2 linked regions of the Coturnix japonica genome follow. The main gene of each other region encodes a partner of the protein of the gene in region 2 in a complex. Links are inferred from orthologs where the notes say so. Each region holds a gene or a part of one and is shown on either strand. Other genes may lie near its edges. The genes, in order: CAMK2A and LRRC7.

Evidence for each region.
Region 1: the proteins of LRRC7 (region 2) and CAMK2A are in contact, whole or in part, in a crystal structure (PDB 6X5G), measured with the Homo sapiens proteins. The link is inferred for Coturnix japonica from reciprocal best matches to the Homo sapiens genes LRRC7 and CAMK2A. Residues at the interface, in NP_001357714.1 of Homo sapiens: His843, Gly844, Arg845, Arg846, Pro847, Leu848, Ile849, Arg850, Gln851, Asp852, Arg853, Ile854, Val855; in NP_001350919.1 of Homo sapiens: Glu96, Phe98, Glu99, Ile101, Val102, Lys137, Glu139, Leu159, Phe173, Ala174, Gly175, Thr176, Pro177, Gly178, Tyr179, Leu180, Ile205, Gly209, Tyr210, Pro211, Pro212, Phe213, Trp214, Tyr222, Gln224, Pro233, Glu236.

Annotation. Positions count from the first base shown.
Region 1 is NC_029528.1:4,858,834-4,862,480, forward strand, and holds part of CAMK2A (calcium/calmodulin-dependent protein kinase type II subunit alpha), read right to left. Parts: intron 3,007-3,647; coding exon 2,958-3,006; intron 2,379-2,957; coding exon 2,303-2,378; intron 1,610-2,302; coding exon 1,515-1,609; intron 1,013-1,514; coding exon 780-1,012; 3' UTR 775-779; intron 603-774; 3' UTR 1-602. UniProt on the Homo sapiens protein: Calcium/calmodulin-dependent protein kinase that functions autonomously after Ca(2+)/calmodulin-binding and autophosphorylation, and is involved in various processes, such as synaptic plasticity, neurotransmitter release and long-term potentiation.
Region 2 is NC_029523.1:25,948,260-25,952,587, reverse strand, and holds the start of LRRC7 (leucine-rich repeat-containing protein 7), read right to left. Parts: upstream 3,105-4,328; 5' UTR 2,728-3,104; intron 2,182-2,727; exon of another isoform or gene 2,075-2,181; 5' UTR 2,007-2,074; intron 1-2,006. Other genes in the region: DEPDC1 (DEP domain-containing protein 1A), read left to right, coding at 3,234-3,278, 3,797-4,062, 4,252-4,328.

The sequences.
Region 1 (3,647 bases), on a different chromosome or scaffold from region 2:
AGAAAACACCAGGACACTCTTACTCACCCATCCACGCATTCCCCTCCTCACCCAAGATGCACAGAAGCTGAATTTTGCAAATGGTTTAAAACCCAGGTTCCCCAGCCGAGGCTGCCGGGATGCATGAGCTCAGGGCAGTGGGCAGGGACCTTGATAGCAGCAAGGCAAAATCCACCGGCGTGTGGAGGGTGTGTGGCACAGAGCAGCTCCCCACAACCTCCTCTTCTTTGGGGAGATGCCATTTAGATGGAGGTGGATGAAGATTCCTGTCCCAATCCATGGGATGTATGGGACTGCAGGGGGGTCATGCAGCCCAGGGTGATGGCTTTTGCCCTGGTAGGCAACAAGTGCACAGGTGTAGGTTCATGGTTTTTCTTTTCTTCGTTCATGCAGAGGAAGGGGACCCGGTGAAAGGGGATGGAGATGGGATGCTTGTAGGTGCCGCTGAGGCCGTTGCATGTGTGCAGTGAGAAGCAAGGGGCTATTCCAGCAGGAACCAAGCAGCAGAGCCAACAGCCAAAGTCCTGTAGGTGAAGAGTTGGAGGGGTCTCCCCTGGCAGTCAGTCAGTGACAAACCCAGCACGGGCTGGACCGTGCTTCAGCTGCAAAACACCAACAAGCAGAGCAGGATGTTGCTTCAACCATCACTCCAGCAGAGAATCCCTCTCCCACTGCCCTCTCATGACCACAGACTATCCCCTCCCCACCACAGATCAGGATAGGACCCCACCCTCCCACCCCATGTGCCCCCAGTCGCAGTCCCTGGATGCTCACAGGGCTTACTGCGGTAGGACAGAGGGCGCGCCAGATCTGTGGAAGTGGACAATCTGCCATTTGCCATCCCGGCGGTGCCAGATGCGGGTCTCTTCAGACTGAGCAGTGCGGGGGATGCCCCCTGCGTCCACGTACTGCGTGATGCGGATGTAGGCGATGCAGGCAGACTCGTCTCCCATCAGGTGAATGTGGGGGTTCAGGATCGTCGTGTGCACAGGCTTACTATTCCGGGACCACACTGGAAAGGGGATAATTGGGGTGAACTGAGGCAGGGGAAGGACTTTGGGTGGCTCCTCAGTGTGGAAGGGGAGATCCTGGGGTTAGAAGACTGAGGACAGAATGGGCTCAGGATGGGTGAACCTAGGGAGCTAGGACAAGTCGTAATGGCCTCACGTTGCACCTGGTTGGATATTAGGAGAATTTCTTCTGCATTGATTCCAGTGCGTGATAATGCATTGGAATAGCCAATTGGAGCATTGGAGTCACCATTCCTGGAGGCGTGCAGTAAATATGGAGATGTGGCACTGAGAAACATGGTTGGTGGGCATGGTGGGCATGGGTTGGATTCTCTGACTCTAACCAAACAGCTCTTTGTTCACCAGCTGGGATTTTCCAGCCCAGCCCAAATGCTCCCAAGGCCACCTTCTGCCTCCTCTCTTCAGCAAGCTGCTGAAGGTAGGGACATAGCCAGCCATAGTGGAAGGTAGGAAGGGCTCCTCAGGAGGCAAGGGGCAGCTTACGGTTTTCAAAGTAGAACCGGTGGAAATCCAGGCCTTCCACGAGGTTCCCCAGAGCCTCAGGCTCGAAAGCAGTCATCCCAGGGTCACACATCTTCCTGGATATATGAAAGGGAGAGGGAAAGGAGAGATCATCTCATTGCTTCCAGCAAGACAGTCTATCTTCAAGCAGAAGCCTGGCCTGGCCCCACAGGAAGCCAACACACCCTTTGCTCCCAGCCCCACAACTTCAGCTGGGACCCCATTGACACAGGTCCCTCCATCACTCACCACCTCCCCTTAAACCTCCCTAAGTACTGCTGCCTTCTTTGTAAGAGATAAAACAGCAGGGAAAAATGAATTCTCTCTGCTCTGTATCAAAATATCCCTGCTGCTGTCCTCTGGGGCAGGGAAGCAGACCTGCACTCGCTCAGATGCACTAATTAAATAGGCCTTGGACACAGAAGAAGTGTGTTCTGAGGAGCTTCAGCCCAGCGAGTAGAGAGCAGTTCTGCTTCCAAGCAGCCTGAGGCAGTCTGGGTGTAATGATACCACAGATGTAATGTTCCTTCTTCCACCATAAATCACACTTGCAGTTATTCATCTTCCTGCAAGCCCAGAAAATGGGCACATCTGTGCTAACAAGATGTGGTCATCTCAGCATGAGAAAGCATGGGGTTGGGAAACCAGCGTCCCCTGTGTCTCTTGCATAGTGTCCACGTCCCTCTGTCACGTCACCCTGCCCTTGGCAGCAAAGCCCTTTGGCACTCGCAATGGGATGCTGGGCTCAGCCCAGAACAAAACACACTCACGTGTAGGACTCGAAGTCACCATTGCTTATTGCTTCAATCAGCTGTTCTGTCACCTTAATGATTTCTTGCTTCCGTACTGTTGGTTTAAAGAAAAATAAACATTTAAATCAAAAACACTGTTTTTGGTTTTTTTTTCGCTAAGACTATTGAAAAGACACATGAAAGCCATTCCTAATGTAAAGGAAGACTGTCCTGCACAGAGCATCACTGGGAACCCTTCCTTGGGAGGACACATACCCAACTAACACACATGGTCCTGTGTTGTGCTGAGATCGCTTAGTCAAGTGACTTTACAAATTGGCACCGATAAATTATTCCCTGCATTATTCTTAGAAAGCTGATTCTGGTGGGCAGGAAGGAGAGATTTCTCCTGGAGTCTGAGCCCTCTGAGGGACACTGGTCTCAAAGGAGCCCAGACCTCAGCAAGAATACAGGAAGGGATGGTATCATCCGTTTCCATTCTTGTGAGCCTCCCCTCCTCACCAGCAACATCCCAGATACTCCCAGTGGTGAAGCCACCTATGCTGGCAGTGTGCTACTAAGGAACCCCAAGGCACCGTGCTGACATTGGGCTTTCCCATAGCCAACACCCCATTAGGGGCTGCTAGGCTAATGGCCTTGGGGTATCCCAATTGGTGTACCCCCATTGGCGTACCTTTGGTGTCTTCATCCTCAATGGTGGTGTTGGTGCTCTCTGACGATTCCTGAGCAAAGAACAGACAGGAGACAGCACGGTGAGCCCAGTCTCCTCCCCATACCAGGAGGATCTTGTGTGTCTGACAGCCCCCCGAGTCCGACCCCACAGCTCTCGGCTGTGCGACTGGACGGCAGCCGAGGAAAACGCCGGCAGGTCCAACCCGTCCTCCACCACTGCTCGAGCACAGCAGCGCTGGCCGAGCCCCCCCGGCCGTGAGCCAAGGGAACGTGGACTGGGCTCGGGAGGGTCTTGCAGGCACGGCGCTGCCTGTCGTACCGATGCCTGCAGGGACACAGAGGTGGGGGCAGGTCCGGGGTGGCTCGGCAGGGTGCTAGGAGGGCATGGGAGGGGGCTGCGCAGGGGTGGAAGACACCATGTTGACTGTACGATAGAGAGAGATGTACAAATTAACAGCGAGGAGGAGCTGGGATGAGAAAGAGGGGACTGTGCAGGAGTGAGAGACCACACTGACCGCAGAGTAGGGAAAGAAATGTACAATACAACAGAGTGCTTCCAAGACCCACATGGACCACCGAAGGCTGAGACACAGCTCTTTCCATCAACAGCTGAGCACTAGACAGATTTGGGGTGGAGGGGGTTCTGACCCCCCGTCTCTCTCCAGGAGCCCCATCAAGGCGACTCTGCTAG
Region 2 (4,328 bases):
CCCCATGGCAGTGCAAGCTCCAAGTGCTTCACACCTGTTCTTCCAGTTTGAAAAGTTTCACAGACTGCATTTTAATCAGTGCTCATCTGCTGGAAACAGCTTCCCTAGAGCATGTGCCTCTCCTTTCCCCAGCTGCTCAATCAGTGGTTCAGGCTGTGACTCTACAGTTCCCCTCCACAAGCAAATTCTGATAATGAAACAATGTAGAACAGCTTTTATCCCTTGAAAAGTGCATTTAATTCATATTTCCAAAGCAGTAGATACTCACAGAGGAGTTAGATTCCAAAGTACCTTTAGGATCTATGTAGCAAACCATAAGCACTGCACACACCAATAAGAAAAACAGGCAAAATCCAGCTCTTGCTCCCCAGATGGCTGAGAATTTTAAATCCCCTCCAAGCATCTCAGTACTTCTGAAAAACTGGGTTTGCGGATTGCATAAACCAAAGGACTTTTGAGGGGAGCATCAACACTAAAATACTTTTTTACATTTAAATGTTGCAAAGGAAAAGAGAACACCACAGGGTAGAAAAATCAGCAAATCTGCACATTAGATTGACATGCCTGCAGCCACACCAAGCCATGGTTACTCTCATCCCAGCTGAGAAGCCCAAGGGGGACATGAATGCATGGCTGACTTGCATACAGGCATCAGGTGCACGAGGCACAGAGCCCTGTGGGGACAGACCACGCTCCTCAGTCAGATCCAGCCACCAGCACCTCAGGGAGCTCCAGCTGGAGATGCCACCATCGACTTACAGACGTTTCTCTGTAATTTCTGGTCCCTGTACAGCCTGCGTGTGCTTACTCTGGAAGAACCACGCAGGGCTGCAGTAAGCAACTGATATTCAGTTACTTCTGTGCTTCAGCAAAGTGGGCTGGACCCCTCACCGAGCACACAGCCCCTGCAGAGCAAAGCAAGCAGCTCCTCCTGTGGAGCTGAGGTAGCAAGAAGTGCACCCAGCTGACCCCCTGCACCAAACTACACCGAGCAGCCACCATTTAATTAAGTCTTCAGCCAAATGACTAGGGAGAAAAAAAGCGCACGAATTTATGAATATATCATGATCCAGTATATAAAGAACCTTTGGCAGGATAATAAATAATATATGAAAGGCAAAGCAAAAGGGTTCTAATTTAGGATTACTTCAAAAAACACCCCGGGCCGTAAACCATCTGTATTAATTGCTTGAATCCAGAGCATTTCATGCCTTTGCTTGCAAAGACTCTATTTACAACTAGACCTTCAGATGCACACAGTATCAGTACTTAATCACTTCAAGCATAATAGCTGAAATAACTAGCAATATGTCATTTTCATACATGGTATCTTCAAAGCCTATTAAAAATAAAATAGATTTCCACTAAAGTTGCAGCCTTCTCCTAAGATGGTTGCAAGCACCAGGTTGTTAATTATAGATTAAACATTTTTACCAGCCTTTGAAATGGTACTTGGAACTAACCCCAATGAGCTGAGCTCTGAGCTCAGTGGGGCTGAAAATCCAGGGATCACACAACTTCATACCCACTGTTTGCACGTATTTAGTGCACCATAAAGGATCTCTTGCAAAAAGGCTCCCAGCACACATCGCCCTACAGTGGGACAACATTTGTTATATGACTATTTGTGACACTAACACTTACATTCTGTTAAGCTCAATTCTCCCATCCGCTTGAAAGATCTTTCAGTCTTTTAAAGCAGTTAATATTAATAAGAAAACGCCCCTTGTTTGTTGTTTCAGCTCCAAGAGTGTTTCGGTAACAATTTCATTTGAGCCAGCATTAGGAAGAGTTTACATTTAAGTTATAACATGAAAGAAACTCCTACAAGATCAGAGGCTGCATCACCGTAAAAACAAACAGCACTGAAGACTTCACGACTCCTCTTTACCACTCCTACAGAACATCACTGCGCTGTGGTGACCCACTACAGAACAGCTACTTAAAGCACATCCAGGAGGAACAGCACCCAGACAAGAGAAGGAACTGAGCAATGTTTATCCTACCTGGCCCAAGGGAAGGTGTACAGTCCTGGTGGTTAACATCAGGATGGCTGCTGCAATGACCTCGGCACCTTACCAACAAGAACCAGACACGAGAGCAGCTGTTAAGCTTTATGGTCTTATTACTTACTTCTGCTAATCAACACACCTGGGAGAGACCCCACTCTCAGCAGAGAGAACAGCTGCAGCTGGGACCCGAATTGTAGCACAGAAGACAGCTGAGCAACTCAAAGAGTGTGCATCCTTCAAGCCTCAAACACCTTCCTGCTTTTTGTTTCATTTCACTCGATATCAGGCAGGTTTATTTCGCACACTGTAAGCATAGAAACTGTCCCCTTAAACTCAAAACTTGAACGTTTGAAACTTGACGTGCATGAAAACCTAAAACCCAGGGGTTATTCTGGCCACCCCTCCCAGCCTCCTGCAGAGCAGGAGCAGCCCCTCAGCCCTTCCTTTCCTTGCCCTCTCTTCTTCTGAGCCCCCAGGTACAGCAGCCAGTTCTGACAGATCAGGAGGGCGTACTTCTCTCCTTTTTTTAACCTGGGAATTTAACTGAGTTGAAAGAAGAACATTCACAGATAACATGGGAGGTCCTCAGCACTCTTAGTACTGTGCTGTGTGGATACATCCATCTCAAGGACTCTTATGCTCAGCACGTAGCAGAGCAGCTAATACAGCACTGACTGTGCAGGGAGTCAGGTAATGAATAACAAAGGAAACTCACCCAGAGCAGTGATTCAATTTAGTCTGGAGTAACTGAGTATTGTCTTTGTCATTCAGTGCAATGGGTGAGAACGTGGAAAAGAGGAATAGAAGTGAATGAAGGCACGGGAAAATTGGAAGGTGCCTTTACAGTTAGAAAGTGCCTTTAGCAGAGGGACAGAGATGGAAATTAAACCTTGACTTGGATCCATGCAGTGCCCTGTTCCACAGTGCACACGTATTGCCTGTCCCTGCTCCTTAGGAGCTGCTGTTATCACCTGCAGCCTCCACCATCTACTCATTTATGCCTTAAAATCCCCTTCTATTCCAACTCAAGGGCAGGGATGGATGTTCATTCTGCCGCCCCTCGATGGCGGATCGCCCCGTCCCGCCCCTCAGCGCAGCCCCGCTCCATCCCGCCCGCAGGCCGCAGCCGTCCCGCTCCGGGCACGCGCCCGCCCTCTCGCCCAATCAGCGGCCGCGCAGCAAATTCAAACCGCGCGGCGGTTGGGCGCCCCCGGCGGAGCCATGGAGCGTCCGTCAGCGCCGGGTCCGTACCGAGCAACCGAGCTGGTGAGAGCGGGACGGGACGGGACGGGACGGGACGGGGCGGGACGGGACGGGGCGGGACGGGACGGGACGGGGGGCAGAGCAAGGCCCGCTGTGAGCCATGGCCCCGCTGTGAGCCAGGGGCCGGCGGGGGGACGGTCTGCGTTCATGGAGGCCTCTCTAAGCGAGGGTGACGCGCTCGGGGCTGTTGGCGGCACGGCAGCTGTGGGAAGGGCCCTGTGCAGCCGCCGCCTCCCCGCCCTGAGCACACAGAGCCTTCAGTCCGACCTAAATCTGCCCTTTTCTACATTAAACCCCCTCCCCGCCCTATCACAGCAGCCCCTGCTTCACGGCCCGCCCCCTTCCTCCTTACAGCCGCTCTGCAGATGCCGAGTGCTGCCTGCACGTCTCTATTAAGCGATGCATTGACACCGTTCCTATTTGTTACACTTCAGCCTGACTTTGCTCCCACCGCTTTGTTTTACTGCTGTTCACTGTTACCAACTTTCAGCTTTAACCTTCGTGTCTTTGTGTCCCCGCAGTGGAATGAGATCACCCGGTATTTCCGAGCCGGGATGCCGCTGCGCTCGCACCGGCAGCACCTGAAGAAGCACAGCAGCTGCTTCACCGCCTCCGAAGCTGCGGACTGGCTGCACCAGGTGCTGAGGAGCAGCAGCAGCTTCGGGCCCGAAGTGAGCAGGCAGCAGACGGTGCAACTGCTGAGGAAGTTCCTCAAGAATCACATCATTGAGGATATCAAAGGGCGGTGGGGGTCGGAAAGCTTGGAGGATAACGGGGCGCTCTACAGGTACTGACATGAACATCATTGATGTATGCTTTATATAACGATAATCAATGTTCTTAGGGGAAAAAATGAGCAATTTTAATTCCCTGAGTCTCCTCAGAATCTTATCACACCCTGCTGGTAAGGGATGGCTTCAGGTTGTGCTTTTCTTTATGTTCTAAACGCCTTTAATGTCTTTCCTATTAATTCCAGGTTTCCTTCAACCTCTCCAGTTAAACCTCTGCCGGCTTCATGTCGCCAAAGTGGGAACTTAGAAACCTCTAGAGATC